Linked DNA regions of Kluyveromyces lactis. The protein of the gene in region 2 purifies or fractionates together with the protein of the main gene of each other region. This does not show direct contact. Links are inferred from orthologs where the notes say so. Each region holds a gene or a part of one and is shown on either strand. Other genes may lie near its edges. The genes, in order: RIP1, COX13 and TIM23.

Region 1 (2,536 bases), on a different chromosome or scaffold from region 2:
GGACTATTTCAAAGATTTTGGAATATAATAAAAGGGTTTCAATCACGGTAGTAGCCTGATGTGGTCATTCAGGTATTAATGCGATTGTTTCTCAGTGCAGTTAAAAGGAAAAGTGATGACATACAATTGAACAATGCTTCAAAAGCATTTCATGCTTGCTATCCTTTTAGTTTGCTTGAGCTATGGGGGCACGGGTAGTTGTGGTTTCAAAAATGTTTGTATGAATAAATAATAATAAATCGGGTAGTGATGATGGAACGTGAAAAAACGAGCTTACACGATTCCAATATGACAAACTTTAGCATAAAAGATATTGACCTTGGTTGTGAATCCTACTTGGAAAATACATGGGGGGAGTAGGAGACATCAACATGGGAATAAAGAATTTTATTAGTGAAAGCTGGAGTGAGAAGGACAAAGAGAAAGAGAAAAAGGAAGAGAGTTAAATTTGAGAAATAGCAAAAAAAGGTAGCCTATTTCAACAATTTATCAACATAATATAATCTTTTTTTAGCTTTCCTTCTGCGCTTAACCGACAATCAAGTTTTCACCATCGAATTCATATTGAGGGATTTCCAAGTTCAATGGAGCTGGACCCTTTCTGATTCTACCGGAGATATCGTAATGGGAACCGTGACATGGACAGAACCAACCACCGAAATCACCAGATTCACCGATAGGAACACAACCCAAATGAGTACAGATACCCAACATGACTAACCATTCTGGCTTTTGAACTCTGTCAGAATCAGTTTGAGGATCCTTCAAAGCTGACATATCAACACTGTTAGCTTCTTGAATCTCATGGTCGGTTCTGTGTCTGATGAAAACTGGCTTACCTTGCCATTTCACAACGACATTTTTACCTTCTGGAATAGCAGCCAAGTTGACTTCGACCTTAGCCATAGCCAAAACATCTGCAGATGCAGACATAGAAGCGATGAAAGTTTCAACGGTGGATTTGGCACCGGCAGAGGACAACAAACCTAAAGAACCAACCATAAAGTAAGCATAAGAACGACCTTTGTCAGCATCGTTATTCTCCTTGATATAGTCTCCGAAATCTGGAGTTCTGTAAGTAGACTTGGCAGCAACTGCAGAAGTAGAAATTAATCTGGCTGGAGCAACAGACTTCAAACCAGTCTTCAAACCGTTTCTTAAACCCAACATTTTTGATATTAGTTAGTTATGGATATATCGCTAGAGTGTATTATTCGTACTAATTTCCCGTTCTTATTTCGGAGAAATCGTTTCTATGATATCGACTTTAATCACAACAGCAAAGCACTCTCGGAGTATCAATAAATATATACACAGATATGAATCACCAAGCCAGATTATAAAATATATATATCAATGCAAAAATGTTGTTGGAACTGAAAGTAATAATAAAATGATTGTACTAAATCTTTTTCTATTTTATTTTATTCAGAGAAATTATCAAATTATCTCTATCCATATTAAACAGAAGCCATTGCAGCTTAATAAGTGCGGAAGGAAGCAAAAAAAAAAAAAACAAAGAAAAATTTCAGATTGGGAAAAAAGCCAATAGTAAGAAGCGCTAAAGGATTAAACAAGATATAATTCGACCAGACAGGAATGGACAGTGTAAATGAGCTGGGACGAGGCAGAACTTCCTGGTGTGGTTATTATTTTCCAATTTACAAGTATACAATTTTATTTGCGTAAATGGTCAAGTATAGGAAGATTTTCTTGGTGGAAATGATAACTGACACTAGGGCCTTTGGGCCTAGTGTCAGTAAAACGCTTCGCATTTAACGGCTTTCACATAGTAGCTGTAAGTGTCCATTTCCTTGTGTTTTCTGGTTATTCAAGGGAAGCAGGTTTTTCTGTAAAGCCTGGTTCACGATATGATTGGTTCGTTTGTAGTGATTATATTAATGTATGTTTGTTGCTGACATTATTTAAACCCATAACCCTCATACATTTCGAGGGCAGTCACCAATCGCAGAAGAAGAGTATCACGTGACTCATATTCGTACAAGCAGAGTTCGTTGAAACAGGTATGGGCAGTGGGCAACTGATCATGTGATCCGGACGTTGTGCGGGTTACCTTGAACGGAAGCGTCGCAAGTCCCGTCACTGGAACTCTGTCACTCCCAGTCACGAAATGGAGAAATTGACGTTGCTGTTCATGGGATAATTGTGGTAGTATTTCCCATAGCCATTCCACTACCGGGGTTTGGTTATGGAATCCGCCTTGGTATTTCGTCACAGCGCGAAGTTGTTCGAAATCCATGTCTTGTTCTATGCTGCCACAGATGAGCCTTTCTACTTCACAACTTTTGAACATCGGGAAAGCCAAACCATCCCCGATGACTCTTGTAAACCCGGATTGGAATGCACTAAAACTCGATGAGACCCCCTCATTCATATAAAAATTTACCCACCTTTCAACAAACTCTGTCTTATTCTCCGAGGTTACTGGGATTGATTCTCCTCCGTCACATAACGGTTTCGTGACGTTGATACCACTGGCTACATCGTAATACGTGGTCTCAAACGACAATCCAAA
Region 2 (2,474 bases):
AGGAAGAAGGTTTATTGTTCTTGTGGGTAACCGGCCGTGCTATCGAAGTAGGGAAAGAATCATTGCAGAATTGGGGTTACGAAGTAATAAATGAAATATCTTGGATCAAGACAAACCAATTAGGAAGAACAATTGTGACAGGTAGAACTGGCCATTGGTTGAACCACAGTAAAGAGCATTTACTCGTCGGGGTCAAAGGCAATCCGGAATGGCTAAACAGAAAAATAGACATTGACTTGATCATTAGCGCAACTAGAGAAACCAGTAGAAAGCCGGACGAATTGTATGGAATCATTGAAAGACTTGTCGGTACACATGCCCGTAAACTTGAAATTTTCGGTAGGGACCATAACATCCGTCCTGGATGGTTCACGATAGGAAATCAAGTGACAGGCTCATCTATCCATGAAGTGGATGTGAAAAGGAAATACGAAAGATTCATGGAAAAATCAAAGAATTCAAAGACAAACTAAAGATGTAATACTCTCTTTACTTCAAATGTCCTAGCTTTTATTTGTCGATACACAGTATCCATTAGGAGTCTGTATGTGTTCCTTCTTACTTTTCTTCTTTTTTTTAATTTATGTCATACGCCCTTGTAATTACAAACGTTACATTACCCACAAGTTCGTGCTACACTTAAGCAGCAATAGGCAATCTTTTGATTTCCATAACCATGGCTGATCCTACGGGCGTTCTATTAGCCAACGCGCTTGTTTTTTGAATTCAATGCAACAAGCTCTCAGCTTAATCTAGCATTCTATATATTAGGAACGGTGTTTCTGTCCACTACACCAACCCCAGCCGGCAAGTCCCTGCAGCAGCTACTAGAATGACATGCGATGGCTCAGGTTTGCTAAAAACCCAAAATCAATTACCGCCAGGCCGTGAAACAAATATTGTTACCCGGACTTGAATTCCTGAACGTCAATATTACACTGTTTGTCAATATGTATAAAGAGATGCAACAGAAACAGAAAATAAAGTAGGAAGTACTTCTGAATCTGTTGCCAGTGTGAACGGTATCGTATGAGCTACTTGTGGGTTTGTAGTCCCGGCGAGACAGCAACACCATTTAAACAAGGAATAGGAACCTTTTATGCTCAGTGTCCATTACCAGAACTTAAGTCTCTCGTGACCAGCAACCAATCATTTTCATACCGTGTAATGTGATACCGAAATTACAACATCGAAAAAGCATGATCTTTGTCTAGTTTCTCCGTCGTGCCATTTTTGGTTTTTTATATGGAGTGGGATATGGAAATATCGCGAGAGAGATTGTGTTGATGCTAGAAAATTTTGGAGGTAGGAAAAAAAAAATTGTTTAATAGTTAGGAAAGTTCAAGTTATTAAAGCTACTCTTTCCATAATAGAAAAGGTTTTATTGGTAAGTCAAAGTACTTTTTTAAAAGAGATTTTTGTGATTAGTTTTCTTACTGTTTACAATTCATTTTACATTCATTTCGAGTTTGATATCTATTTAACGTCAACTGTGTTTGGTGAATTAATTCCATAAGGATATTCTGTTTCGAAAAGCCAGACCCTAGATATAATCAAAAATGTTCAAACAAGCCATTAGAAGAGCTTCTACTCTACCAAAGTATGCTTTGGAACCAGCTTTCGGTAAGCCAGATTTGGCTGCTGCCCAAGCTTACAAGGACTACATGAAGCACAGTACTGAGCACGCTAAGCAAACCTCTAACTTGTGGGTTAAGATCTCCATATTTGTTGCTGCTCCAGCTATTGCTCTGACCGCTGTCAACACCTACTTCGTTGAAGCTGAACACGCTGAGCACCGTGAACATTTGAAGCACGTTCCAGATGAAGAATGGCCAAGAGACTACGAATTCCAAAACTTAAGACAAAAGCCTTTCTTCTGGGGTGACGGTGACAAGACTTTGTTCTGGAACCCAGTCATTAACAGACACGTCTCTCACGATTAAACACAGTTCGATAAATGATCTCAACTTGTTGGGCTTTGGCCATTCATAATGAAATATCAAGATAGCCCCTGCCTGTGGGTTTTTTTATCTTTTAAAACACCTTTTATCAAATATCCTCAAATTATCTTCAAAAGAATTCAAACATCCGTTTAATCTGGCATTATACTTCAAAATACAACAAACATATGGATAAACTTTATAGTGGAGTTTCCACCATACAAATAATTATTATTTAACTCAAGAAGAATAAACACACTTTTTATCTTTATTGTAAATTCAGTCCTAGAAAAATAGAATAAAACACGTCACACTGTGTCAATGATCATAAGTAGATATAAGTTTCTTCATTATCAATATCTATTGTACTGAATCTGTGACAAGCAGTACATCAACTTCGATATGCTCAGCGTTATGGCAAACGTCTTTAGTAACTCAATACTTACTTTTTTTTCACGAATGATGAATACAAACTGACTTTACGTTCCAAAAACTTTAACTTTACATTGTTCCCCATTGTTAACCGAACAAAAA
Region 3 (2,667 bases), about 270 kb from region 2:
TCGTTTCGTTTCGTTTCAGGAAGACACATGCCCTTTTATTCACATGATATTAATTTATGAGCAAACTAGTGATGAAGTGTCTTCCTTCGTTAGACCATTTCGTTGTAAGTTCGTCACAAATGCTGTTATAATTTGTTATAATTGCTAGAGTACCAGCAAGGCCCGCCTGGAGAGGCAGATAATAGAAAAGAAAAATATTGACGAAAGATGACTTTATTAAAATATATACAAGACCATGTATCTCTAAACAAGCTGCTGCTTTATTTCTAGCTCACTCTTTGATGCTTGATTTCAGATATCGACAGTCTCAAGAATGGTGTAGAAAATGGTAATGGAGTAGGAAAACATGCATGGCGAGAATGGTGCTGTGGTGGAACATAGCATGAATTTGCTAAAATTGTCATCATATTGTACATTATACGAAAGGGGAATTCAACATGCAAACGTAAGATAAAATTGGATGAAATGGGCGGTCAGTAAATACGAGACATTAGGGGCATATTTCACATTTGAAACAGGATCCTCATGCAAACCATTTCTAAGACCCAATGTAATAGTAGTGTAGAATGAAAGGAAACGAAAAAAAAAGTTTATCGTGTGTTTATATATCCACAGGTTTATCCTTTTCTTTCTTTCAACTTATAAGATTACAGACTTGATACCGCACCATCCTGCAGCAGCAGCAGCCATCAAAGCGGATGCGTAACCCATTGGTTTCAATCCTCTAGAAGATCTGAAAATAGCACCAGTTAAAGCACCAGCTGCCACTGAGCCAGCAACATCATGCTTACCTCTGAAAGAATCGATCACTGAGTTGATCAAGTTGTAAGTTAAGGCCAACACACCAGCATTGTTACCCAAAAATGGACCTCTTCTTGTGATATGGTTTAATACTGTATTCAATTGCAATTTACCTGGTGAGTTAGGTGGGATGTTCTTCAACCCTTCAATGAACCCATAAGAACCACCAAGACCTAAACCAACCAAGTATACAGCACCAGTACCGTAACATAAATCGTCTGTCCAACCTCTAGATGGAATCAAACCTTGAGAACCTTCCATTGAAGAAAGCTGTTCTTCTTCCAAATCCATATACTCAACACCACGCTCTAGCCCTGCTAATGGGTGAAGCTGTGATGGACTTAATCCTCCTGGAACAGAAATAACGTTCGACACATTCGAAATTGATGATGGATCGAATCCTAGAGTTTGTTTCAGTTTATCATCATTTTGTTCAACTGGTGTAGTATTTTCTTGTGAGTCTGTAGATGACTTCTTACCACCGAAGAGCCAAGACATAGCTATACTTTATTATTATTATTATTAGCCTTAGTTTATATGGTATCGGTCAAAGGATGAAAAATCAGGAAGAGATTAGACCCGGTCCGTATTCGACAATAATGAAGCCCTGTATTTATCGGAGTATTGCCTTGATAGACTGAAATGCAATGGTAACCTAGCAAAATACCAATACGGAAAAGATGTCTTTGTCTTAGTATCTACAACTCAAACCTTCGAGGGTGATTCAACGTATCATACTACTACTTTAAACACTTTTCGATTGTAAAATTATATTTCACTAATTTTTCAAAATTTCAAAATATTTCAAGAACTACGGTTTTTTTTTTCTTCCTCTTGTTTCTTCTTGCTTCACAAGAGACTCTGTGATTTCAAGACCATTCAAGGTAAAATCAACGAATCGTACAAAATGATGATTCATGTAACCGGAACCGTTCTGCAGATGTAGCTGACCTCTGTTTTGAGCGCAGCGAAGGGTAAACAGAGAGAAAAAAATTTGTCATTTCATTTAGCATTTCTAGCGACAAAAAAAATATTTAAAACTGACGCCCGCCATGAGACAATGTTATTTCACACGACATTGCAAAAGTTATCACTGGGTTTCCAAACAGATATCAACTGAGGTATCTTTGGATGAAACTTTACCTACGCAGATTGATAGAAATCTGTAAAAAGGAGCGCATTGCCCTTAAATTCGTACAAAGAATACAAAGGAAAATTGGGGATTTGTTAGGAAACGACTTTTCTGAAATTATACATTTTCAAACCAGTATATATATATAAAGGGATCCGTATAAACCTTTCATATCAATGTACTGTCGCTAATGTTTTTTTTTAAAATCGCCTGGGATAATTTGTGAAAGCATTTCAGATACTAAGGTAGCATACATGCACTAACGCATTTCAAGGCTTCACACTTTTGAATAAACATAAATTTAATATAAAGAGTGCAGTTTTACATGAAAAGGACGCTGGAACATATGTCAGTCTGCCCCTCAGAAAAACTCCGATGAATAATTTAGAGAATCATCAATTTTCATTCTCTGATGATTTGTTACACTGTGATTACACGATAAAACACAAGCTGTTAACCCGCTTTATGACGAAAAGTTTCACCCAGTGATTGAAATACAAACAAAAAATGGCAGAACGTAGTGCTAGAGTCCAATTTGATTTGTTCGAGTCCGAAAAAGTGTTGTTGCGACACAAATGGATCAGAATATTAGAGGAGATTGACTCCGAAGTCTCAGTGACGCTTGGATTTGATCTATACAATACTAAGAAAGAGGATACGAAGTTGCACCACTGCGAGTTGAAGAAGGTGAACCAAATGAGAGTCGGTTACGACGAGTTCCTATTGAAGAAAAT

The links.
Region 1: the proteins of COX13 (region 2) and RIP1 purify together in Saccharomyces cerevisiae (affinity purification with mass spectrometry; 3 studies listed by BioGRID, with this or other methods). This does not show direct contact. The link is inferred for Kluyveromyces lactis from reciprocal best matches to the Saccharomyces cerevisiae genes COX13 and RIP1.
Region 3: the proteins of COX13 (region 2) and TIM23 purify together in Saccharomyces cerevisiae (affinity purification with mass spectrometry; 3 studies listed by BioGRID, with this or other methods). This does not show direct contact. The link is inferred for Kluyveromyces lactis from reciprocal best matches to the Saccharomyces cerevisiae genes COX13 and TIM23.

What each region holds. Positions count from the first base shown.
Region 1 is NC_006041.1:2,012,806-2,015,341, reverse strand, and holds RIP1 (ubiquinol--cytochrome-c reductase catalytic subunit RIP1), read right to left. Parts: upstream 1,171-2,536; coding exon 529-1,170; downstream 1-528. Other genes in the region: putative E3 ubiquitin-protein ligase HUL4, read right to left, coding at 1,922-2,536. UniProt on the Saccharomyces cerevisiae protein: Component of the ubiquinol-cytochrome c oxidoreductase, a multisubunit transmembrane complex that is part of the mitochondrial electron transport chain which drives oxidative phosphorylation.
Region 2 is NC_006042.1:844,170-846,643, reverse strand, and holds COX13 (cytochrome c oxidase subunit VIa), read left to right. Parts: upstream 1-1,559; coding exon 1,560-1,943; downstream 1,944-2,474. Other genes in the region: IME4 (mRNA (N6-adenosine)-methyltransferase), read left to right, coding at 1-473. UniProt on the Saccharomyces cerevisiae protein: Component of the cytochrome c oxidase, the last enzyme in the mitochondrial electron transport chain which drives oxidative phosphorylation.
Region 3 is NC_006042.1:578,273-580,939, forward strand, and holds TIM23 (protein transporter TIM23), read right to left. Parts: upstream 1,300-2,667; coding exon 640-1,299; downstream 1-639. Other genes in the region: KLLA0_F06061g (uncharacterized protein), read left to right, coding at 2,441-2,667. UniProt on the Saccharomyces cerevisiae protein: Essential component of the TIM23 complex, a complex that mediates the translocation of transit peptide-containing proteins across the mitochondrial inner membrane.